Linked DNA regions of Oryctolagus cuniculus. The protein of the gene in region 1 interacts with the protein of each later gene in a biochemical or structural test. Links are inferred from orthologs where the notes say so. Each region holds a gene or a part of one and is shown in the gene's direction. Other genes may lie near its edges.

Evidence for each region.
Region 2: the proteins of HTT (region 1) and HAP1 form a complex in vitro, tested with the Homo sapiens proteins (4 studies listed by BioGRID). The link is inferred for Oryctolagus cuniculus from reciprocal best matches to the Homo sapiens genes HTT and HAP1.
Region 3: the proteins of HTT (region 1) and SH3GL3 form a complex in vitro, tested with the Homo sapiens proteins (2 studies listed by BioGRID and IntAct, with this or other methods). The link is inferred for Oryctolagus cuniculus from reciprocal best matches to the Homo sapiens genes HTT and SH3GL3.
Region 4: the proteins of HTT (region 1) and PACSIN1 form a complex in vitro, tested with the Homo sapiens proteins (2 studies listed by BioGRID and IntAct). The link is inferred for Oryctolagus cuniculus from reciprocal best matches to the Homo sapiens genes HTT and PACSIN1.
Region 5: the proteins of HTT (region 1) and PRPF40A form a complex in vitro, tested with the Homo sapiens proteins (2 studies listed by BioGRID and IntAct, with this or other methods). The link is inferred for Oryctolagus cuniculus from reciprocal best matches to the Homo sapiens genes HTT and PRPF40A.
Region 6: the proteins of HTT (region 1) and SP1 form a complex in vitro, tested with the Homo sapiens proteins (2 studies listed by BioGRID). The link is inferred for Oryctolagus cuniculus from reciprocal best matches to the Homo sapiens genes HTT and SP1.
Region 7: the proteins of HTT (region 1) and HIP1 form a complex in vitro, tested with the Homo sapiens proteins (2 studies listed by BioGRID). The link is inferred for Oryctolagus cuniculus from reciprocal best matches to the Homo sapiens genes HTT and HIP1.

What each region holds. Positions count from the first base shown.
Region 1 is NC_091433.1:1,893,590-1,896,530, forward strand, and holds the end of HTT (huntingtin), read left to right. Parts: intron 1-412; coding exon 413-575; intron 576-711; coding exon 712-872; intron 873-1,668; coding exon 1,669-1,882; 3' UTR 1,883-2,441; downstream 2,442-2,941.
Region 2 is NC_091448.1:20,968,218-20,971,399, forward strand, and holds the end of HAP1 (huntingtin-associated protein 1), read left to right. Parts: intron 1-391; coding exon 392-816; intron 817-1,152; coding exon of another isoform or gene 1,153-1,169; coding exon 1,170-1,377; exon of another isoform or gene 1,378-1,964; coding exon 1,965-2,295; 3' UTR 2,296-2,682; downstream 2,683-3,182. UniProt on the Homo sapiens protein: Originally identified as neuronal protein that specifically associates with HTT/huntingtin and the binding is enhanced by an expanded polyglutamine repeat within HTT possibly affecting HAP1 interaction properties.
Region 3 is NC_091443.1:102,396,675-102,400,174, forward strand, and holds part of SH3GL3 (endophilin-A3), read left to right. Parts: intron 1-628; coding exon 629-762; intron 763-3,015; coding exon 3,016-3,174; intron 3,175-3,500. UniProt on the Homo sapiens protein: Implicated in endocytosis. May recruit other proteins to membranes with high curvature.
Region 4 is NC_091436.1:134,918,869-134,923,006, reverse strand, and holds the start of PACSIN1 (protein kinase C and casein kinase substrate in neurons protein 1), read left to right. Parts: upstream 1-1,338; 5' UTR 1,339-1,615; intron 1,616-4,138. UniProt on the Homo sapiens protein: Plays a role in the reorganization of the microtubule cytoskeleton via its interaction with MAPT; this decreases microtubule stability and inhibits MAPT-induced microtubule polymerization.
Region 5 is NC_091434.1:89,214,294-89,217,793, forward strand, and holds part of PRPF40A (pre-mRNA-processing factor 40 homolog A), read left to right. Parts: intron 1-795; coding exon 796-910; intron 911-1,066; coding exon 1,067-1,170; intron 1,171-1,275; coding exon 1,276-1,392; intron 1,393-1,685; coding exon 1,686-1,823; intron 1,824-2,507; coding exon 2,508-2,603; intron 2,604-3,500.
Region 6 is NC_091442.1:56,402,466-56,405,965, forward strand, and holds part of SP1 (transcription factor Sp1), read left to right. Parts: intron 1-2,241; coding exon 2,242-2,441; intron 2,442-3,500. UniProt on the Homo sapiens protein: Transcription factor that can activate or repress transcription in response to physiological and pathological stimuli.
Region 7 is NC_091450.1:50,706,829-50,710,328, reverse strand, and holds part of HIP1 (huntingtin-interacting protein 1), read left to right. Parts: intron 1-550; coding exon 551-609; intron 610-819; coding exon 820-913; intron 914-2,772; coding exon 2,773-2,873; intron 2,874-3,105; coding exon 3,106-3,211; intron 3,212-3,500. UniProt on the Homo sapiens protein: Plays a role in clathrin-mediated endocytosis and trafficking. Involved in regulating AMPA receptor trafficking in the central nervous system in an NMDA-dependent manner. Regulates presynaptic nerve terminal activity.

The sequences.
Region 1 (2,941 bases):
CCCCGATCCGGGGAGATGACTGGGTGCTTGACAGGGGCTCCCTCGCAGTCCAGCGCATCCTCTCCTGGGTGTCTGTGGGCAGATGGAGCCAGGCACGTGTGTGTGGGAGCCGTTTCCATGTTGTCCACGGCAGTCACGCAAGCACGGCTAGGCAGGACTGCCAGAAAGGATGCAGCTCCGGGGTCTGCAGAGGCAGTCAGCAAGAGCAGGCAGGCCCGGCTTCCCGGCTGGCGGCTGAGCTCAGGCACTGGACTGCGTCGTGTTGGGAAGTGTGTGGGAAAAACCTGAGGAGGACAGGCTTGTGCGCGTCACCGGAGGGGTGGACTGCAGAGGGCTGCGTGTGGTGTTTCCGCTTCTGCAGCGTGCGCTTGGCCAGCCGAGTGAGGCTCTGACTAGTGTCCCCTCCTTCCAGGATCAGGAAGGGGTTTCCCTGTGAAGCCAGAGTGGTGGCAAGGATCCTGCCTCAGTTTTTAGATGACTTCTTCCCACCCCAGGATGTCATGAACAAAGTCATTGGAGAGTTTCTGTCCAATCAGCAGCCATACCCGCAGTTCATGGCCACCGTCGTGTACAAGGTGAGGTAGACGTGGGTGGGAGCTGGAGGCGGGGTCCCAGGACATTGGCAAGATGCCTCCCTGCAGAGAGCAGCGGGGTGGAGGAACTGACGCCTCCCCAGCCCTGCGCTGCACGCTGCTTCTCGCCCCTGCCCAGGTCTTCCAGACTCTGCACAGTGCCGGGCAGTCGTCCATGGTCCGGGACTGGGTCATGCTCTCCCTGTCCAACTTCACGCAGAGGACCCCGGTCGCCATGGCCATGTGGAGCCTCTCCTGCTTTTTCGTCAGTGCGTCCACCAGCCCCTGGGTCTCAGCAACGTATCCTTCCTTGGGTGCTGGGGCTCTCGGTGGGGCCTCTGCCTGCTGCCAGATTTCGCTTTTTCTTCTGTCAACTTCTGTGTTTTGTCTTAAACTTTTTGAAGCCTGACACTTGCAAAACCCGCAGCTTCAAGGTGCTGTTCCCCTCTGTCCCGAGGAGGAAGGCGTTGGCAGGGCCACAGAAAGCAGGGTGCCCTCCGCTTGCCCAGCAGGACCGCCTGGCTCTGCAGCCAGGCCTCCCCTGTCTCCGCTGGGCCCCCTCCCCTCCTGTGCCCGTGCAGCTGGGTTCCCAGTGCTGCTTCTCATTAGCTTTGTCATTGTGCCTCGATCACCCTCTAGGGGGCTGCTTAGGAAAGATCCGTCCCCACCCCCAGAACGCTGGTGCCAGGAGTTCCCTTTTTGGCAGCCTTTCCCCGAGACAGACACAAGTCTCCGAGCAGCGTGGTCATGCTGGTGCTGGCAGCACAGCCTCGCCCAGCGCGCCTGGGAGGGCCCGGGTAGGCAGGGCCACGGCTCTGTGCTCACTGCGTCGGAGCGGGGCTCGCGGGAGCACCGGCAGCCAGCACTGCGCAGGGCGCTAGGCCAGGTAAGTGCTGCCCCGAGCACCTGCTCAGCCAGCGCTGCCTGGGCGGGGAGCTGGGCTCCGGCACGAGAGGGTCTAGGAGGGCGTGTGCCCAGCCGCCCCTTTCCTGCCTGCTGCTCTGTCCCTCGCGCCTCCTGGGGCTGGGTCAGGAAGGGGCTCCTGGGGGGGGCAGCCTTCCGTGCCCGTGGCAGTGCTCCCTTAACTCCCGGCCAGCCTCCCGCACGTCGTCAGCAGGATGGGCAAGCTGGAGCAGGTGGACGTGAACCTCTTCTGCCTGGTCGCCACCGACTTTTACAGACACCAGATAGAGGAGGAGCTCGACCGCAGGGCCTTCCAGTCTGTGTTTGAGGTGGTGGCAGCGCCAGGAAGCCCATACCACCGGCTGCTGACATGTCTGCGAAACGTGCACAGGGGCGCCGCCTGCTGAGTGCCCCCGGTGGGAGAGTGCGCGAGGCAGCGGCTGGGCCGGCTCCGCGCAGAAGCCAGTGCCCGGTGCCCTGCCTCGTCCCTCCGGGCTTCCGTTCACGCCGCGAGGCAGCCAGGCAGCGTGCGCGTCTGCCGAGAGGCACGAGTGCTCTTTGCAGCAGTGGCTGAGCAGGGACCACACACAGCGCTGTGGGGGTGCAGCCGAGTCCTCGGAGAGCAGGCGCAGCTGGGCTGCCAGCGCCGGTGCCGGTGCCCAGGGGTCGGTCTTTCTCCCCACAGTCACCTGCCGTTGCCGCCAGGTTGCGGCTCCCTTGGCCTGGGACGGAAGTCCTCACTCTTGCAGGCTGGTCGTCGGCCCCTCGCCGTCCCACAGGGAGGACACGAGTGCCGGCACCCGGCCTTGTGAGCACGTCTCCCCTGTTGCACCAGCGACCAGACGCACAGACCCTGTGGCCAGGCCAGCAGCTGGGGCGCCACACACCTGCGCCATCCTCTGTCTCTGTTTTCTTCTCAGGATTTAAAATTCAATTCTATCAGTAAAGAGATTAATTTTAATGTAACTCTTTCTACGCCCGTGTAAAGTGTGTGGCTCACAAGGCCAGCGCTGCGTGAGGCAGTGTCCACGGAAGCGATGGGTCTGTGGCAGCCCTCTCGTGGCGTCTCCCCTGCACACCCCACTTTGCTACACAGTCACATTCGGTTAGCCTGGCAAGAAGAGCTGGTGCCCCGGTGTCGGCAGCAGGACTGCCCCCCGGGCCCCGTGAGCCCTCAGCCCCTCCCAAGGCCTCTGCCCACCATAAGGGTCGGCACCGCTTCTCTGCCGCTAATAGCCTTTGTGTCCAGGGACGCTGGCCCAATGGCCCCGGGAGCTCGCTGGCTGGCGTTGGGCCCACTGCCCCATGTTGGGGTCCTGGCAGCCCAGGGTGTCACTGAGCTCTGTTCTGGCTGAGCCCCTCTTGGTCAGAGCAAGTGAGGGTCAGGCCTCGATGCCTCTTGTACCCCTTTCCCACGCCGCTGCCAGCTCAGCAGGGAGCAGCTCTGTGTGTGGTGATGGGCTGAT
Region 2 (3,182 bases), on another chromosome or scaffold:
GGAGGGACGGTTGGTCCTGCTGGGCTCTTCGGTGGGGTGAAGTGAGGGAGGGAGAAGGCTGGGCTGTGTTGGGGGCTGTGTGTTTGAAGCTGGTACCCAGCTCCTCTTTCCCCTGGCTGGGGCAGACCTAGGAAGGAACCACAGGCATCTGGGTGAGGGCTGGGTGGGGCAGGGTTGCCCTTGGAGAGGCTGGGAGGGGGCGGGCTTGTGGTGGGACCTTCCTCCACAGCCCCAACAGCAGGTGTCCCAGAGGAGTGTGTGTGTGTGTGTGTGCGTGCACATGTGTGTGTGCACATGTGTGCATGCCCGCGGCGAGCTGCAGCAGGAGTTGGCTTGCTGCAATCTGGAAGAACCTGGCTGTCTCCCTACCCTGACTGGACCTGTGTTCCAGGGAGGAGCGAGCGCAGGCACAGGGCTACAGGGCCGAGGAGGAGGAAGAGGAAGAGGAGGAAGAGGAGGAAGAGGAGGAGGAGGAGGAGGAGGAGGGCTCTGCGCAGGCGGAGGAGGCTGTGCCTGTGGATTTCAAGCCCATCGAGGAGCTGATCCCCGAGGAGGAGCTGGGGGCTGCGGAGGAGGCGGTGCCAGCCGAGGAAGGGGCGACTGAGGAGGCGGAGCTGCTGTCCGAGGACACGGAGGCCTGGGAGGAGGTGGAGCCAGAGCTGGATGAGGCCACGCGGATGAACGTGGTCACGTCAGCCCTGGAGGCCAGCGGCCTGGGCCCTTCGCACCTGGACATGAAGTATGTCCTCCAGCAATTGGCCAACTGGCAGGACGCCCACTGCAGGCGGCAGCAGAAGCCGAAGGTGCCTCCCAAAGGTGAGTGCTCCCGCGGGGGCCTCCCTCCGGCCAGCCGGACAAGCTGCAGGTCTTCAAGCCGATGAAAGTGCTCACCTGCCCCAGCCCGGCCCTGCCCAGCGTGCTTATTTGCATGGACTTTGCATATCATTTGCATAGGCACCTCAAGCCCCCTTCCCGGGTGTCCTTGGGACCCAGCACTCCTTTATGTGGAATTTGCTTAGGAGTCTAGCTGTCCACCCACTTGGCTCCTGGGCTGGGGTCAGGGCCGGGACTGTCTCCCTCACTGCACCTCAGCTTCCTGTCTCTGCCTGCCCCCTCCCCCCACCCTTCACCCCCACCTCCCCTGTCCCCAAGGCTCCCCAACCCTGCAGCAGTGGCAGCAGCAGGCCAAAACAAACATGGGGGGCGGGAGCGTGGAGCAGCGGCCCGGGGTGCCGACCCAGGACTCTCGGAGGCTGGAGGAGGACAGGGCCAGCCACCCTCCCGGGGCCGGGGAGGAAGATGGGCCTTCGGGGGCCACCTAGGCCGCTGGCACCGAGGCCCCCGCCAGCAAGGGCCACAGTCGCACCAGTCCCCTGGGTGAGTCTGAAGGTGGGCAAGGGTCAGCTGCAGGGTGGCGGGAGGCGGGTCAGGGTCTCCTCTCCCCAGCTGGAAGCCCCAAAGTTTGAGGCGGCTGCACCTGCCGGGCGTAGGCCTGGTGAGCCCTGCCTCTGCAGTGACCCGGTGACAGCGCTGCAGACGGACCATTTTCCCGGGTGTTAGCCCCTGTCACCCTCACGGCCCTGTAGGTAGGTGGTGGTGTCCCCTGAGATGATCAGAGAGCTGAAGTGACTCGATCCAGGTCCAGCTGAGATGTCTTCACACCCTGCCGTGCTGTGCCGTACATCCCCTCTGCTGCTGGCCTGTGGGCAGCCGTGGGTTTATAACTTGTTGGCAACCTCCCTGTGATGTGGCCTGCCTCGGCTCTGATGGTGCTTTGGTCACCGCTGGGTTTGGAATAGCGCTGGCCTCAGCAGGGCCTCCGGGTGAGGTTGTGCAGGTTGTAAGCTGAACCGGACGCCCGTGGCTGGGCAGTGGGCTCTGGCCTGTGGATCTGTGATGGCTGTCCGCCTCCCGGTGCAGAGCCACCTGGGCCAGGCCTTCACGTCTACCCCTTTTTCTTCCAGGCTTTGCTTTTTCCCAGCAGCCTGCAGAGGCCCCACAGACATGAGGCCCCTCCTTCTGCTGCCTGGCCAAGCCCTCCCCACCCCAGCCCTCCCTCTCCCCTCTCCAAAACGTGACCCGGTGCATGTCAGCAGCCCACCCTCTGTCCTGACAAGCCTGGGCCAGAGCGTGAGGGTCCAAGCCTCGAGCCTCTTCCCGGCCAGGCTGAAGGAGCCCGGGGCTTCGCTCTGCAGCTGGTGCAGGAGCTGTGGCTGCTGGGCCTGGGTCACGTGGTGGCGCCAGGCGCGGAAGAAGCCCCGGGGGAGGCCTGCCGGCTACCAGACCCAGCTCTGAGGAGGGGTGGGGGGTGATCCCAAGGGTCGGGAGTTGTTGGGGGTCACCTCCTGGGGACCTGGCCCTCTCCCCAGTCCTGTCTTTCCTGCTCAGTCCCCTTTGGTGTTTGTACTCAGAAGTGGCTCTGTGTGGGGTGGGGGAGGGGTCCCTCTGCCCAGTGGTATGTCTGCCTTGCCCCGGCCACTAGCCTGTGGCCTGCGAGTGTCCAGGCTCCCACGCTCCTCCCTGGGGGGCCCTTGTTCCCTAGTTCTGGGTGTTCTTCCTTTTGTATCCCTTCGCTCATACACAGCTGGGCTCCGGGCCTCAGGACCCCCACTGCGCTTCTTAGTGCCCTGCTGCTTGTCCGTGTAGGTGTCTGCGCAGGAAATAAAGGATTTGTGTACTGCTGGTCCAGCCTCCAGCCTTCTCTCTCAGGGAGCATGTGTGCCTGTGTGTGGGTGCAGGGGTGTGCGTGTGTACACTTTGCGGAACAACGTTAAAGAAGATGGACTCTGACTTTTATTAAATGCACCGTGGAATCACATCAACACCCCCTGGGGGATAATGAGCGGTGTCAGAGGGGAAACTGAGGCCCAGGCAGGCCAAGTGACCCTGGAGAGCTGGGTTTGAACCCAAGTCCTTGGAGCCTGTGCTCAGGCAGGCTCCCCTCCCTGGTCCTTTTGGCCCTGGCTGTGAAGGTTAGAGTGGGAGTGAGAGTTACCCAGTGCCCGGGCTCAGGGCCCCCAGGGACAGGCCTGGAATGGGGCTCGAGAACAAGGAGTTTGTTTGGAAGATGATCTGGGCAGCAGTGGAGCCTCAGGTCCCACCCCAGACTACATAGCACCAGCCCCTGCAGGCTCGCATGGTCCCCAGGGAGTTCACGTGCGGGTTAGCGTTTGAGACACGCT
Region 3 (3,500 bases), on another chromosome or scaffold:
AATGCTGTTTGCTTGGGAGATTTTTGTTAGAAAAACAAAATTTTTAAAAGAATGGCGTTTAACACAAATTTGCACAGCTTCGGCAGAAATGAAAGATGCAGAGTTAAAAAAAAAATGATATCCAGCAGGATAGTAAAACAAAATCTGGCCACAGTGGCACCAGGCTGGGTGCGGTGACCTGAGACCACCTGCCCAGACACAGGGAGTGGCCTCCAGGGTCCACAGCCGGACCCGGATGGCGCTTTGTTCATTTATTTCCATTGTCATGATTACTGGTTAATACTGGGCCCGGTCAACCAATCCTGTCATTGTTTACAAAGAGACCTTTCCTTCTATGGATGGAAGCCTTGGTGCCAGTTTGCAATTTTTTAAAAAGAGCTTTATCTCCACCTAGTGGTCAGAGTTGTAAGTGCGTCTGTCTGTCAGCCTCAGTTTTATTTTAGGTGCTGGGGTAAGTGCCCAAGCCGAGAGAAACATGTAGAAAACAGGAAGACTGTTTTTCTTTTTCTGAGAATGGGCCTCACTGCACCGGCATCCATTCACTTTGGGGCCAGAATTAAACAAATATCATGGATGACCAGGAGTCATTTTCTGAAAAACCATATGTAATGTGTATTTTCCCCCCAAGGCAATGCGTTAATAGAAGTCGGCGAATCCATGAAACTCATGGCTGAGGTGAAAGATTCCCTGGACATCAACGTGAAGCAGACATTCATTGACCCGCTTCAGCTGCTGCAAGACAAAGATTTGAAGGAGATTGGGGTAAGTCTTTGTGGCTGCAGGTGCACCCTGTTGCTGCTTAGAATAATACATTTAAAATCATCGCGATGTGGAATAATATTTATGTTTAAGATCATTGCGACTTAGAATAATATTTGTGTTTAAAATCATTAGGACAGTTCTGCGGGTGCTAAGTGAAGGCATCACTTTATGGTGGGTGGTGACAAAATAACTCCGTTAGATTTCCCTGGATCCACTGGGAGCCAGCATCAGGAGGCATTAACCCCATCTACTGCAGAGGTGGGGCACTGAGGTGGGGACAGTGGGAAGACATGACCATGTTCCTTCAGCTTTAGGATTTCAGAAAAGAGAGAGAGAGAGAGAGAGAGAGAGAGAGAGAGGTCTTCCATCCCCTGGTTCACTCCCCAGATGGCCGCAATGGCCAGAACTGAGCCTATCTGAAGCCAGGAACCAGGAGCTTTTTCCAGGTCTCCCTTGTGGGTGCAGGGGTCCAAGGACTTGGGCCATCTTCCGCTGCTTTCCCTGGCAGGAGCTGGGAGCTGGATCGGAAGTGTAACTCTGAACTTCCACCTCAAAGAGGATCAAGAGTCGAGATCCCAAGATCCAGCGAGCCTGCAGTAGTCCCCGCAAGCTCTGTGCGTGCTGGAAATCAGGGGTCGGAGCCTGTTTGTTTAGCACACGGCTGGCATACTGCTGTCCAGGGAGGGCTGGAGAGGGATTTAGGGGCTTGGCCCAAGGAACAGATAGGCTGGGAGAGACGCGTCTGATCTTTAATCCCATAAGCTCTTTCTGCCTCCTGGTCTGGAAGTCAGAGCCACTTCAATGAATGGTGCCAGTCACCTGATGCTTCTGAGGGGACGGTCAGCTTCCATGGGCGCTCTAGGTACTGCCCATGTGTTTTCCAAGGTCCCAGCAGGAAACTCGTAGCGGCCCCTCCCTTGCCTTGCACAGACTGAATACAAACTGGGAGAGGAGACCCAGTATCCACAAGGCAGGCTGTCTCGTGAATGGACGACTCCACTTGTTATCACTGTTAGATTTTATTAAAGGAATTAGAATGTCGCGTAGAATCCCACCAGTTCAGAGGTTGCCTGTAGCTCCCTCGCCTCTGCAATCATGGGTAGCATTTTTTTTAATGTTCATTTTATTTATTTATAAGTCAGAATTACAGAGAGAAAGGGAGAGACAGAGAGAGAGAGAGAGAGTGAGTGAGCGCGAGAGGTCTTCCATCTGCTGGGTCACTCCCCAGAAGGCTGCATTGGTCTCCCACACCCATGCAGGGGCCCAAGTTTTGGGCTATCTTTCTCTGCTTTTCCAGACCATTAGCACAGAGCTGGCTGGGAAGTGGTGCAGCCAGGACTTGAACCAGTGCCTGTGTGGGATGCTGGTGCTGCAGACGGCAGCTTAACCTGCTGGCCCCCATTGGTAACATTTTATGCAACTTACCTTGTAATTGGGCACTTTATAGAGGATCCGTGCTTTTCCTAGGGGATACCAGAAATGTGTGCCCATGTCTCAACGAGGAGCTGATGACAGCACCAAAGGAATTGTTTTTTTTTTTTTAAACAAAAAACAAATTTCTCCCACTAAATTCTCATCTTGAAAAAAAAAGTGTTTGTGAGACAGACAGAGCTTGCTTTGCGGGCGCATTCCCCAGATGTGGTGGCTGGGGCAGGGCTGGGCTGCAGTGGGAAGCAAGTCTCCCACATGGGTTGCAGTGGCACGGCTATTGGGCCATCACCAGAGCCTCCTGGAGTCTGTATTTGCCAAGAAGCCGGGGTCAGGAGCCAGAGCCGGGCGCTGAGATGGGGCACAGGGCATCTTCACCAGGAGGCCAAGCTCCCGCCCTGCCCCTGTGTTGTGCCCAGCTAATTTGGTTAGAAGCTACCTGAACATTGCAGAATGTTGGAACCTGGTCTCTGAGCAGGGACACGGATCCTGTGCTCCGTATAGACACTCATTCATTCATTACGTCACCCATGCATCCAGCCATCCAGCCATTCATTCATTCAGTTGTGGGGTATTCCTCCACTTGCAGTGTGGGGCGTCTCCAGCAGGTGTACTGAGGTGCACACAGCAGGAAGACAGAGATGGGTCCCTGCCTTTTGGAATTTAAGCCTGGGGGAAAAATAAGGGGGGAGGGGCTACATTCCTAGAAATATAACCAAGAATGTTGGGCGCCATCTTTTGAATGTGACACTTCTCTCAGGGACTCCTCTCTCTCTCTCTCTCTCTCTCTCTCTCTCTCTCTCTCTCTCTCTTTTTTCTTCCCAGCACCACCTGAAAAAGTTGGAAGGCCGCCGCCTGGATTACGACTACAAGAAGAAGCGAGTGGGTAAGATCCCCGACGAAGAAGTCAGACAAGCGGTAGAAAAGTTTGAAGAGTCCAAGGAGCTGGCCGAACGGAGCATGTTCAATTTCCTAGAGAATGACGTAAGTATTGAAACGGACAGGCGGGCTTCATGCAGATAGACAGCAGAGGCCCCTGTGCATCTGGGCTCAGCGTGTTGAGGCACCCCAAGGCCAGGGCTGTTAGGAAAGCCCCCCGAGTTTTTCCGGGACCCTTGTCTCCTGCTAAAGAGGTGGCTTCAGACACCCAGTGAGCTCCAGCTCAGAGCCGCAATCTTGGGAAGACCACCGTTTGGGTCAGGCTTGTTCCATGGATGGGCTGGAGTCGCTGCCCCCGCCAGTGGGGGGCAGGGGAGGCTGCAGGATGGGCAGCCAGAGGCCCCAGCCCTGTGGCTTTGCAGGACGAGGGG
Region 4 (4,138 bases), on another chromosome or scaffold:
TGCCTCTCTGTAACTCTGCCTTTTAAATAAATAAATCTTTAAAAATAAATAAATAAATCTTTGAAGAGAAATATGTGTATCTCAGCCTCCAGCCCAGTCTAGTTCATCATAATCTCAGTTATCACTCAGTAGCCTGTCTGAATGTCACCTCCTCCAGGAAGTCTTCCTGCATGGCTGTAACCCACAGCTGTCTGGTTTTCTCTAGGACATCGTCTACTCACTTGGCGGTCCTGTGCAGCCTTAGGGTAGGTGCTGTCACACAATCACCCCAAATGAGTGCTAAACGCCTCCGGGCTGCAATGCCCTACACGCAGTCAGTATGCACAGGGTCCCGTGCGGGGGGCCCTGGGGTCACCAGTTTCAGTGCCTCTGCTGAGGGGGTGATAAAAAAGAGACCAGGAAATACACGCCTGTGTGTGACCAGCCCAGGGCAGCCACAGGGAGTGGGGAGGTCTGTGGCCAGCTGGAGACGCCCTGAGTGGGGTGGCGGTTCACATTCACACGCATGCGCACGCAGAAGCCCTCACCCGCCGTCCGCCCTGGTGGCCCCGCGTTCTTGCCTTGCTTCCCTGCGCTTTGTGCGCACCTGTCTGAGATAAAGCCCCCTGCAACTTACACGGACGGCTGTCTCCGCTTCAGGCAGGGCAGGGGTGCGCCGGGCACACAGTAGGCGCCTTACAGATTTGTGCTAAAGGACTGGTCCCCGGGAAGCGCCCCCCCAACCCCGGCTCCAGACTCAAGGGCGCAGGGCAGAAGAGTGAAGCCCTGTGTGTGCGTGTGCGCGCGTGTGTGACTTTTAGGACCCAAGACCCCCAGAGAGCCCCAAGGACATGGCTGTGTGTTTTGGTGACTGAGGAGTCTGCCCCATGGGGTCAAGGCAACATTTCCGAGGTGGGGGTGGGCCATGGGTGGGGTGAGGTGGAGGGAGTCATCACACACACACACACACACACACACACACACACACACACACCCCTCGGACGTACCCTGCATGTATGCGGTCAGAGGGACGAGAGGGCAGAAACACAGATATCCAGCCGTGGCGGGGGGGGGGGGGTCAGGAAGGGCGTGGAGAGACAGCCCCCCCTCCATAGGAGCTGGCAAGTGGGGTTGGGTGGGGGGCGCGCTGGGAGAGGAGTTTGGGGAGGGGGCTGGAGAGGGAGGACTGAGGAAGGATGGGGCGGGCTAGGGGGCTCAGGAGGAGGCAGTGCGGGAAAGGAGCTGTCCGCACCCCCGCCCCTAGAGCCCGCTGCCCGGCCCCGGCGGCCCGGGAGGAGAGAGCTGGGCGCCCCCGCTTGCGCCTCCCCCGCCCGGGCGCGGGCTCCGCCGTCGCGGCCGCCTCGGCAGCCGGGGCGCCGCCACCTGCGCAGCCTGCGCCGCCCGGCCGCGCCGCCATTGGCTCGCTAAAAATGCCTCTCTAATCGGCTCGGCCGCGCGCTCCGCCCGCCCCTGACCTTCCTGCTTCCCGCAGCCCCGCCACAGCCCGGAGCGAAGCGGCGCGGCGGCCGCGCCAGCCTCCTCCTCCCCCGGGAAGCCTTCCGGGCTTGAGGCCGGGCCCAGGTGCCCCGCGTCGCCCCGTGGCGCCGCCCATGGTACCCGGCGCTCCTGCCCCCAGGTAGGGGTCTGGCCCTTGAGAGGGCTGGGGTGGGTGGGGACCCAGGTGGCAGGTGCGGGTTGCTGGTGGGTGCAGGGTGACTTCTTCCAGGCCGGGGGTTGAGGGGAACCGGGCAGTTACCTGGAGAGCGGTAGGCACACGGCCGGAGAAGCTTCGCAGGCGCCCCGGCTCGTGGGCATCACCCAGGCAATGCCAGGAGGCCCTTGCGCTGGGTCCCTGGGGGAGACGGAGCTGGCGAGGCCTTCACCTTGGGGGGGGCGCAGGAAATGGGTTCCTTGGGAAGGTGCAGTGGGGCCCCGGTGTCCAGGTGTCGGGCAGGGGTGGGCGGGCTGCGCCAGCCTGGTGCGCGGCTATTTGTGGATCAGAGTGGGCTGGGGAGAAACAGGGCTGATGCTGCTGCGCTTGGTTTACAATTACAGCATTTCCTCTGGCACTCACCCCTTCCCCCACAGCTGGGGGTGGGCAGGGGAGCAGGGAGGAGGCAGTGGGAGGGAGATGATGCTCAAGGGCCGGCAGGTAGGGCAGGCGCACCGGTGCGGGCCACTGCCCTCCCCGCAAGCCTCAGCTCCCTTGCTGCCTGCTGGAGCCCCCCCCCCTTCCCTGCTTTCACCTTGCAGCAGGCTGTGAAAAGGTAAAACACGTCGTTAGGGTTTGGGGGCTACACTGGCCAGGCCCAGCTTCAAGCCCCAGCTGCTCCCTGCCCCCCCGCAGCCCAGCTCTGCCCTCCAGGGCAGTGACACATGTGGCTGCTTTTTTTCTAGGTGCAACCATAAATAGCCTGCATTGCCCCCAGCACCTGGCACAGCCGGGTGCAAACCGGGGGCAGTGTGGCAGGGATTTTGGAGGTTCTGTCCCCGCTCCTGGCCTTCCCAGCACGGGTGCAGGTCACCACCCACAAGTACCCCCCCCCCCCCCCAGTACGGCTCTTCTGATGCCCCCGTGAGCTCCTCATCACCTGCCCCAGCCTCCTGGACCCCGTGTGCCTCTGGCTTGGGTATTTCTGTCTTGTCCGTTGCCCTGTGGAGCAGAAGTGCTCTGATCCCTCTCTGTCATTGCCCCTGCCCCTGCGCAGGGGGAGGCACCAAGTAAATGTGGACTGACTGACTGAATGAACATGAACTTGGCAAAACAGAGGGCAGCTGGGAGGAGGGGGGCTCTCTGTCCACTCCTGAGGACCAAGAGCTGCTGGACACAGCTCCATGACGCCCTTCCCAGGCCAGGAAGCAGAAGCCAACGCGGGCTGCTTTGGCTCCTGGAGATAAGAAGTGTTGCTCCAGTGGGGCTATTTTTTCTTTAAATCTCTCTCTCTCTCTCTCTCTCTCTCTCTCTCTCTCTCTCTAGTCAACATTCATTTATTTGAAAGTCAGAGTTACACTGAGAGAGGGAGAGACAGACAGAGCTCTCCCATCTGCTGGTTCACTCCCCAGATGGCCGCAATGGCTGGAGCTGGGCCGAATGGAAGCCAGGAGCTTCCCCCCGGTCTCCCACGTGGGTGCAGGGGCCCAAGCACTTGGGCCACCCTCCACTGCTGTCCCAGGCACATAAACAGGGAGATGAATCAGAAGTGGAGCAGCTGGGACTCGAACCAGTGTCCGTTTGGGATGCTGGTGTCACAGGCAGTGACTTACCCTGCTACACTGCAGTGCTGGCCTCTCCAGTGGGTCTTGTTGGGCCCCCGGCTGGATTGCCCAGGCCTGGTCCAAGCTGGGGGGAGGCCTGAAGTGGAGGCGTGGCTCTCGGCAGGCACTGGGTGGCTGCCTTCTCGGGGTGCCATGTTCAGGCCAGGGATCTCTGCCACTGTCCCAGCCCTTAGGAGGGGAATGCAAGCCAGCGTCAGGGAGCCTGCACAAGCCAGGCTGTGCGCAATCTCTGGGGTGCGCATAGCGAGGCTGGAGCCAGTGGAGTGACACTGTTGCATGGGGGAGCAGACCCAGGCCAGAGGAGAAGCCTGCCCCCGAGGGTTCCAGCCTGGGCAGGAGGCCTGAGAAGCACGTGGACGTAGGCAGAGCTCTTTCCCAGCCCTGTCGCCTTGGGTAGCCCTGTGGTCTCCGCAGCGTGCGGCTGCCCCTCCCTTCCCACCCCCCCCCCCGCTCCCAGCTGCTCTGATGCCCTGTGCATAGCCGCCCCTTCTACCCCCTCCTCCTCCCCCAGGAGTCCAGGGACGTGTCTCTTCCTTTTAGAAGCTTCCCCAGCTTGGGCTGAGAGCCTCAACCATGACCCCCTTCCCCCGCCCGGCTGCTTGTTTCCCCGCCCCCCCCCCCCCAGTGTCCTCTGCACTTGAGGTTGTGTCTTCCGGAGCTGTGACGTCTGGGCGCAGAGTCTGTGTCCTGTGTCCCGAATCCCAGGGCCTGGCCAGAGTGTCCTCGACTGTGTAGGCACAGCCATCAGGAGGTGAGGGACCCATTCAGGAGCTTGCACCTCCGCCGCCCAGCAGCAGGGGGCGGGGCAGTGGGCCTGAGACGGTGGGGGGACATGGGGCTGGGGGTGGGCACCAGTTTCTTCTGGGGAGGGGTTTTCTCGGGA
Region 5 (3,500 bases), on another chromosome or scaffold:
TAAGAAATATTAAGAAGTTTTTATGTACTGAAACAGTACTGTTAAGTGTGGTATTTAGTAATCATTAGTACCAAGGTCAGCATCCCTCATTTGTGTTGACAGATAACGACAAAAGGATAGAGAATTTGAGAACAGAATTTCAGAGTTGTCTATATGCACTTGTTTTTTTCAAGAGTAGTGGATTCACAGGTGTACAGTATTGCTGAAGGGCAGCTCTATCCAATAAATTTATATCCCTTATGCAATTTTAATTTTTAATTAACCATATTTAACTCATTGTATCAAAAAGTTTCAACATGTTGAGTTTTTATAAAAGTTTGTGCTAAGTCTTTGTAACCATTTCATTTTATACTTACGCTATATTAGAGTTCTGAATAGCCACATTTCATGTACTCATGTAGGTCAGCGGCTACCATATTGAACAGTGCAGTGCTAAGAATTATGGGAACAGAGTTTAGGGTCAGTTTCCTTAGAGGTATTTGCTTACAGTATTAAACTCTTAAGGATTTTGGGAAACAGGAAGTTTAAAAATTACTGGGGGCTAAAGTTTAGTATGTTGCCCTGTAAGTAAGCAAATATGGAAACCAAAGAAGAGCAAAGAGAAGAAATTGGAATTAGCAAATAGATAATGGCTTCTATTTAAACTAATATGAAAAAAGAGAAAGGGTCCTGAAACTAGATTTGAGTTTACTTTTATAATTGGAAATAATATATCTACATTTTTACATGTGTTCTCACATTGAACTTAATTTCTAATGTACTTCAAGAAGACTATTCAGATATTTTTTTTCCCAGATATTTTTAGATGAATTGCATGAACATGGACAACTGCATTCTATGTCATCTTGGATGGAATTATATCCCACTATTAGTTCTGACATTAGATTCACCAATATGCTTGGTCAGCCTGGTGAGATTCCTTTCTTTGCTAATTTATAGTTTTGATAGTAGTTACAATGAATTAGAGGGGAATGTGATTATGCTGGGAATTTTTGTTTTATTTTTGATTTATAAACAAAAAAGTAATTGCAGCTCTTTGGTTAGAGCTAGCTTTTGACTTCTTTAGTTTTTTCATTAGGATCAACTGCACTTGATCTTTTCAAGTTTTATGTTGAGGATCTTAAAGCACGTTATCATGATGAGAAAAAGATAATAAAAGACATTCTAAAGGTAAATATTTATTCTTACCTGTTTGCTTATAGTGTATTACAAAAACTGGTACTGTGTTCCTTTGATGTATGTTTTATATATATTAACAATTTTTCTGATTTTTAGGATAAAGGATTTGTAGTTGAAGTGAATACTACTTTTGAAGATTTTGTGGCAATAATTAGTTCAACTAAAAGATCAACTACGTTAGATGCAGGGAATATCAAGTTGGCTTTCAATAGTGTAAGTTAATAATTTTTGCAATTATAAATAACTGGTATAATAGTGAAGTTCTTAATTTTGTAGCTAAGAATTTAAATTGAAGGGCATTTTGATAATGGAGTATACAGAGGTTTTTATAGAATGGTGGTCCTTTTGGTGGGGTAAAAGTAAACTGTTGCTAAGCTTCCTTTCTTGTTAAGAGATAAATTGCCCTTAAATAATATGTGAGTACCTCTAAATTAAGAATAATGAATTATTTCACATGAAAGTCACAGTTATGCTGCAGTAATTAATTAATCATGGTTTTCTGATAGTTACTAGAAAAGGCAGAAGCCCGTGAACGTGAAAGAGAAAAAGAGGAGGCCCGGAAGATGAAACGTAAAGAATCTGCTTTCAAGAGTATGTTGAAACAAGCTGCGCCTCCAATAGAGCTGGATGCTGTCTGGGAAGATGTATGTATATGTGTATATTTTTTCTGATAATTTTTTTTAGTTGAAAAATAAAAATATAAATTCCTTTCACATTTTACAGCCACATATGAAATTGCAAGTTGTTTGTTGAATATATTCAGTATATTTAGAGTATTTGAAGTCAGCTGTGGCTCTGCACTTGGAAATACTTGTTAAAAACGATTGAGACTTTTTTTTCTTAAAGATTTATTTATTATTATTTATTTGAAAGTCAGAGCTGCACACAGAGAGAGAGAGAGAGAGAGAGAGAAAATGAGGTCCTCCATCTGATGGTTCACTCCTCAGTTGGCCACAACGGCCGGAGCTGCGCCAATCCGAAGCCAGGAACCAGGAGCCTCCCACATGGGTCCAGGGGCCCAAGGATTTGGGCCATCTTCCACTGTTTTGCCAGGCCATATCAGAGCTGGATCAGAAGTGGAGCAGCCGGGACCAGAACTGGCACCTATGTGGGATGCCAGTGCTTCAGGCCAGGGCGTCAACCCTACTGCACCACAGTGCTGCCCTCCCCCCTTTTTTTTCTTTTAAAGATTGAGACTATTGAGAGAAAAAAAATTGCACTGTAAATGGTTTGGATTATCATAGTTTTCGCTTGTTGATATTCCTTTTAGGCATATCGGTATCCTATTCCTGGTATTCATCTATTTATTCCATATATGAATTTTTCAGATCCGGGAGAGATTTGTAAAGGAGCCAGCATTTGAGGATATAACCCTGGAATCTGAAAGAAAAAGAATATTTAAAGACTTTATGCATGTGCTTGAGGTAATTTTAGAGTTCTCATAACTGGTTGAAATAATACTTAACATATAAAAGTATAAACAAAATAGAATTTAGAATGATCTGTTTAATATTTATTTATTTATAATTTTCTGGTTACTTGATAGTCATAGAATGTTTCTATACACCGGTACACTCCCCAAATGCCTCACATAGCCAACACTGGGCCAGGCTGAAGCCAGCTGCCTGTAACTCATTTCCAGATCTGAGTTTCCTCTGTGGCCTCTCAGGGTCAGGAGCTGGAGCAGGGGTTGAACCTAAGCACTACAATGTGGAATGCTGCAGGTATCACAAGCAGCCTCTTAATCAACTAGGCCAAATTCTCGCCCCTTTACTATTTACTTAACAAAGCAGAGTTACTGGATAGGGGAGTAGGAAGGGGGAGGAGGGGAGGAAGAAAAAAATATAATTGAAGTTTTGAGATTGAAAAGAAAAGCTAGCATTCAGTGAAATAAAAAAGGGATATTAAGAGTTCTGTCAAAGTCAGATATTCTGTTTCCACTGTGGTAACTAATGCAGAGTGTATTTTTAAAGCTGTAAATGTGTTTGGAGGTACAAGTCTTTTACTGTAGTACCTTCCCTTTTCCATCAGCCTTATAATTTTTTATTTTAATAAAGAAGTTGAAGTCCACAGAGACATGTGAATGCCCAAGGATGTCTTGAGTAGGAGATGTTTCTTGAAGGCAAAGAAACCTGATGTTGATTTTGCATTTATTCTGCAGCCAGCCTTGTATGACATTTGAGGTTCTTTGTTGGTGCCTGGCCTGCATTGCTAACCAAAACCAGATTCCTCAGGAAAAAAAACATGCCTGCATGTCTTATTTCAAAGCAGTTGTGACTGTTCTGCAAATTATACATTTGTAGAGTTTATCAGCTGTCCCT
Region 6 (3,500 bases), on another chromosome or scaffold:
CCAATGGATGAAAGATCCCTCTCTCTTTCTAACTTCACTGTTCAAATAAATAAATGTTTAAAAATAAAATAAAAAATGACAACCAAAACTTCACCTTCATACATTTAAAGAAAAAATTTTGGGTCAGTGTTATGGAATAAAGGGAAAAGGTGCCATCTGACATGAGCATCCCATATGGGCGCCGGTTCTAGTCCCTGCTGCTCCTCTTCCAGTCCAGCTCTCTGCTATGGCCTGGGAAAGCAGTGGAAGATGGCCCAAGTCCTTGGGCCCCTGTATCCACATGGTAGACCTGGAAGAGGCACCTGGCTCCTGGCTGCAGATCGGCACAACTCCAGCCATTGCGACCATTTAGGGAGTGAAATAACGGAAGGAAGACCTTTCTCTGTCTCTCCCTCTCGCTGTCTGTAACTCTACCTCTCAAATAAATAAATAAAATATTTTTTATAAAATATTATTTATTTGAAAGGCAGAATTACAGAGAGAAGAAAAACAGAGAGAGAACTTCCATCCACTGGTTCACTTCCCAAATGGCCACAATAGCCAGGATGGAATGGGTTAAAGCCAGGAGTCAGGAGCTTCATCCAGGTCTCCCTCATGGGTACAAGCTCCCAAGAACTTGGCCCCTCTTCCACTGCTTTCCCAGGCACTTTACCAGGGAGCTGGATCAGAAGTGGAACAGCTGGAGCTTGAGCTGGCACTTAAATGGATTTTGTTTTTTTAAGATTTATTTATTTATTTGAAAGGGAGAGTTACAGAGAGGCAGAGACAGAGGTGAGAGAAAAAGAGAGGAAGAGGTCTTCCATCCACTGGTTCACTCAAATGGCCGCAATGGCTGGAGCTGGGCCAGTCTGAAGCCAGGAGCTTCTTTTAGATCTCCTTTGTGGGTTCAGGGGCACAAGGACCTGGGCCATCCACTAGTGCTCTCCCAGGCCATAGCAGAGAGCTGGATCAGAAATGGAGCAGCCGGACCTGAACCAGCGCCGACATGGGATGCTGGCACCGAAGGTGGTGGCTTCCCCTGGCTTGCCACAGCGCTGGCCCCATGGATTTTATTTTTAAGGAAACAATACTTTCTGAAAATAGGATGGGTGTTTAGCCTAGTAGTTATGATACTGGTTAAGATGCCTGCACCAGGGGCCAGCGTTGTGGCATAGCAGGTAAAGCTGCCACCTGCAGTGCTGGCATCCCATATGGACGCTGGTTCATGTCCCAGCTGCTGCACTTCCGATCCAGCTCTCTGCTATGGCCTGGGGAAACAGAAGATCACCTAAGTCCTTGAGTCCCTGCACCCGTGTGAGAGACCTGGAGGAAGCTCCTGGCTCCTGGCTTCGGATCGGCCCAGCTCCGGCTGTTGGTGGCCATTTGGGAAGTGAACCAGCGGATGGAAGACCGCTCTCTCTCTCTGCCTCTCCTTCTCTCCCTGTGTAACTCTGACTTTCAAGTAAATAAATAAATAAATTTAAAAAAAAAAAAAAATCCCTGCATCCCACCTTGGAGTACCCAGATTGGGCTCCTGACTTTAGCTTCCTGCTGATGCAGACATTGGGAGGTAGCAGTGATGGCTCAAATAATTGGGCCTCCTGCTGTGCAAGACCTAGCTTAAGCTCCTAGCTCCCAACTTCGCTCCCAGCCTTTGAAGGCATTTGTGCAGTAAGCCAGAGGATGGAGACTCTGTCTGATTTTATTTGTCTCTATCTGCCTCTCTGTAAACTGCCAAAAAAATACTACCTAAACTTCACAAGCACGTTGAGCATGGTTATCTCTTGAAACAACAAGAAATAACTTTGGTTAAATTGATTAAAGAATAGAAAAGCAGGAATGAACAAATACCCAGTAAAGGGCAAACCTACAATTTGAATTTTGGGAATTTGGAGCCAAAACTAGCTGGATATTTATCTCTCTTGTTTTACAATGTACGTATGTATTGGAAAGGCAGAGTTGCACAGATAGTAAGGAGAGATTTTCATTTCTGTGGTTCACTCCCGAAATGGCTGCAACAGCCAGGTCTGGGCCAGGCCAAATTCAGGAGCCAGGAACTCCATCCCACATGGTGGCTAGGTGCACTAGCAGGGAGCTGGATCAGAAGCAGAGCAGCTGATATGTGATCTGAAGTGGGATGCTGGCTCCCAGAAACGTTTTTTCAAAAATGAAAGTTCGTTTCGGGTTAATTTCGGGTGGGTTGGGTAGTTGCGGTTGATACTTTTCTCTCTAGAAAGTGTAAATCAGGTTGTGTTCTTGCAGGGCCTCTGGAGATCCTGGCAAGAAAAAACAGCATATTTGCCACATTCAAGGCTGTGGCAAAGTATATGGCAAGACTTCACACCTACGGGCACACTTGCGCTGGCATACAGGCGAGAGGCCATTCATGTGTACCTGGTCCTACTGTGGGAAACGCTTCACACGTTCGGATGAGCTCCAGAGGCACAAACGCACACACACAGGTAAGCAAGAGCAGTAATAGACCAGAATGGAAAGGTACAAAATGTGCGTATGAAGCAGCTCCACTTTCTGAGCAACTTACGTTTTTGAAACTGAAATATGTATTTGGGTCACAAATAGAATTGGAGTTAATCTGGAAAACTTCAGAAGGAAGGAGAGGCCAGTGCTGTGGCATAGAAAGTTAAGCCTCTGCCTGCAGTGTTGGCATCTCAAATGTGCACCGGTTCGAATTCCAGCTGTTCTACTTCCAACCCAGCTCACTGCTGATGCACCTGGGAAAGCAGTGGAAGATGACCCAAGTCCTTCTCTCTATGTATCTCTGCCTGCCTGCCTGCCTGCCTTCCTTCCTTCCTTTCTTTTCTTTTCTTTTCTTTTCTTTTTTTTTTTTTTTTTTTTGACAGGCAGAGTGGATAGTGAGAGAGAGAGACAGAGAGAAAGGTCTTCCTTTTTGCCGTTGGTTCACCCTCCAATGGCCGCCACGGCTGATGCGCTGCGGCCGGCCCACCGCACTGATCCGAAGGCAGGAGCCAGGTGCTTCTCCTGGTCTCCCGTGGGGTGCAGGGCCCAAGCACTTGGGCCATCCTCCACTGCCTTCTCGGGCCACAGCAGAGAGCTGGCCTGGAAGAGGGGTAACCAGGAAAGAATCCGGCACCCCGACCGGGACTAGAACCTGGTGTGCTGGCGCTGCAAGGCGGAGGATTAGCCTAGTGAGCCGCGGCACCAGCCTGTATCTCTGCCTTTCAAATAAATGAATCTTTAAAAATAAATTTAAAAAAAGAAGGAAGGAGGGGCCAGTGCTGTGGTGGAACAATTTAAGTCTGGGTCTCCTAAACCAGTATTCCATGTGGGCATCAGTTGGAGACCATCCTGTTCCACTTCCAGTCTAGCTCCCTGCTAATGTGCCTGGGAAAGTGGTGGAAGATGGCCCAAATCCCTAGGCTCCTGGCTTTGGGCTGGCCCAACCCTGGCTGTTACGGCCATCTGGGGAGTGAACCATTGGATGGAAGATCTCTCTCTCTCTCTCTCTCTCTCTCTCTCTCCCCCTCCCTCCCTCCCTCTCT
Region 7 (3,500 bases), on another chromosome or scaffold:
ATCCGGGGGTCGACTTCCAGACGGACCCCTTCCAAGCCTTCCGGCTGCTGTAGGATCCCTGTACCATTTCCACAATGGCAGCAGTCGTCATACCCACTCCAGGGGCCTGCTGCACGGGTGACATGAGACAGTGCCCATCTCCCTCTGGGTGCCAGGCACTCCGGAAATTGGTGGCACCCCCTCATGGGAGGTTCATTCACGGAAAGCTTAGCGGGCGCCTTGGGGAAGGTCCCAGGTTGCTCCCTCGCTGGAGGGGCCCAGACCACCCCCCGAGGTGTGAGCACCTGCCTCTGGCACCCCCCGGGCCTGTGGCTGCCAGGGTTCCGTGCACACAAGCCCAGGTGCCAGGTGGACAGGGTGTGGAAAGGGCGCACAGCCTGCTCCACCTGCTGTCACTGCCCATTGCACCTGCACAGAGATGGGGCCAGAGCCCTTCCCTGCCTGGGGACTCCCCAGTTCAGGTTCCCCAGCTTCCGCAGGGAGGTACAGTAGAACCGGCTTCTCGGTCCTGGAGGTGCGTTTGGAAAACTGTGCTTTTTTTTTAAAACAGGAAATGCTGAGCAAATCCCGTGCAGGAGACACAGGCGTGAAGCTGGAGGTGAACGAGAGGTTGGTCTGAGCGGCGGTGGCACCCGTGTGGGCAGGATGAGTCTCGCTGGCCGGGGGCTGTGCTCTGCAAACCCGTTCAGGGGTCAGAGGGAACTGAGCTGCCCCGGGGGCGACAGCATTGACGGTGACAGTGAGGTCGCTTCGCCTGCCTTGCTGTCCTTGGGGCTCCCACGTGCCCGCGGCCCTGACTATCTGCTTTGCTTCTCCCAGGATCCTCGGCTCCTGTACCGGCCTGATGCAAGCCATTCAGGTCCTGATTGTGGCCTCCAAGGACCTCCAGAGGGAGATCGTAGAGAGCGGCCGGGTAGGCATGCAGGCTGGGCCCGCAGGTGGGGAGCGCAGGTCTGACTCCATGATCCCTGGGGTCTAGCGGCACTGATGTCTGGTCCTGTGAACCCCCCGTGGGCGAGCCACCCCTTCTCGTGATCGGTCATCAGCCTGGGGGTCGGGTGGTCTGGGTTGGTGAGTCGCCGCTGTGACCCAACCGGGGAAACCTCTTTTTTTGTTTTGTTTTGTTTTGTTTTTTAAAAAAGACATTTATTTATTTGAAAGGCAGAATTACAGAGTGAGAGAGAGAGAGAGACAGATCTTCCATCCACTGGTTCACCCCCCAAAATGGCCACGATGGCCAGGACTGAGCCGGGACAAAATCAGGAGTCTGGTACTCCATCCAGGACTCCCACAGGGGCCAAAGCACTCTGTACCATGTCCCCGCTGCCTTCCCAGGCGCGTCAGCAGGGAGCCAGATCGGAAGTGGAGCAGCCAGGACTTGAACTAGTGCCCACATAAGATGCCAGCTTGGCAGGTGGTTGCTTAACTTGCTGCGTCACAACACCGGCCCTGGGAACCCTCCTTACACGGCACTTCCAGGCCCTCTGAGAGGAACAAGGGCTTCTGGAACCTGGGCAGATGGACACGCATGCCTGGGACCGACATTTCCCGGGAGTCTGGCCATGTCTGCTTCCATCCGAGTCCGCTCCCTGCTGTCTCTCACAACCAGCTCTGCCGTCGCTGGGCTGTTGGTCCCTGCCTGGCCCAGTTTGTCTCTCCCTCTAGGAAGGGGCCCAGGGAGGGAGCCAGCAGCTGTTTCTGCTTTGGGGGTGCCCCCTGATCCATCTGGGCCTGGCACACTGGCAGACACTAACAAAGCCTGAGAATGTTCTGGAACTTCAAGTAGACATAATGCTTTGTAAATTATTCATCGCGTCCTCCCATCTTTTGGGAAATGGTGGAAAGCAGCTAGACTCGCCCCAGATCATAACTGACTCATCGCTGAGTATGTGAGTTCTGATATCTCGGTTCCTCTTGAAACCCACTGTGGATTAGTGCCAGGACACCTTCCCCGCCACCCCCCGCCCCATAGAAATGCCAAGTTGCTTATATAAAATGGCATCATATTTGTACATAATCTGCACGCTCCCTTTCATAACTTTTGTTTTTATGATTTATTCATTTATTTGAAGGGGAGAAAGAGATCTTCCATCCACTGATTCACTCCCCCAAAATGGCTACAGTGGCCAGGACTGGGCCAGGCTGAATCCAGGAGCCAGGATCTCCATCCGGGTCTCCCATGTGGGTGGCAGGGGCCCAGGTACTCCGGCCATCCTCCACTGCTTTCCCAGGCCCATTAGCAGGGAACTGGATTGGAAGTGGAGCAGCCGGGACTTGAACCAGTGCCCCAATGCTGGATGTCAGCATTGTAAGCGGAGGCTTAGTTTGCTGCCTAACATTACCAGTCCCCTCCCGTAAACTTCAAATCCTCTCTACATGACTTAGGCCAAATACAGTGTCAGTGCTATGGAAGCAGCTGCTCCTACTGTATGGTTTAGGGATTACTGACAAGAGGAAAAAAATATTCCCACCCCCGCCAACTAATTCTGAGCAGTGTTTTGTTGAGTCCACAGAAGTAGGGGACTTATGGTAGGAAGATTGAGGTAGAGTAGACATGCCCAGGACTGACAGTGTGCAGTGCCCCCCGGGGGGGAGCACAGTCGCCTCTCTGGGTCTTGGTTTTCTCCCCTGAGCAATGGGACGGGACCACTGGTTCCCTCCCTGAGTTACTGCCAGGACCAGCCAGGACCACCCAGGACCCGTCAACCGAAGTGGTAGACCCAGAGCAGGCGCTCGGTAAAAGGTGACCCCTTCTTTCCTTTCCCCTCTCAGGGCACTGCGTCCCCTAAGGAATTTTATGCCAAGAACTCTCGCTGGACAGAAGGGCTCATCTCAGCCTCCAAAGCGGTGGGCTGGGGAGCCACCGTCATGGTGTAAGTGGCTACAGCGCCCGGTCCCCTCCCTCGGTCCCGCTCCCTTGACCCATAGTCCCCTGGAAGGGAACTGTTGTTGGTAAAGACTGAAGGCTTCACAGGGAAGCTGGAGTTGACAAGGACGGGGCTGGCATTGTCCCCTTCTAGTCTAGACAGGGCCAACGGGAGGGGCTGCAGGGGTTGGGTCCTGAGCTGCCTCTGACCTGGCCCTTGTCACATTCTTTCCTGTCAGGGACGCAGCTGACCTGGTGGTGCAAGGCAGAGGGAAATTCGAGGAGCTCATGGTGTGTTCACGCGAAATTGCTGCTAGCACAGCCCAGCTGGTGGCTGCATCCAAGGTAGGACCCCGTGGCTCAACCCCCGGAGCCTGGGGACCATCTGCACAGTGCAGCTGGCCTCGACAGTCAAGGTGGTGGGGTCTCACACACAAAGCGTGCCTCCCCGGGCTCCCACGCCATTCTCCACTAAAGGCATCTGGTCTGTTGCCAAAGAGCCCCCGTCCCCAGCTCCCCACGCGAGGGTCCCAGCCACGCCAGCACCTGATTAGCAGCCCCGACAGACATTCAAGGAGCGATGGAACCAGGACACCTGGTTTGGCTCCCATTCCAGAACGAGCATCTGCCCCTC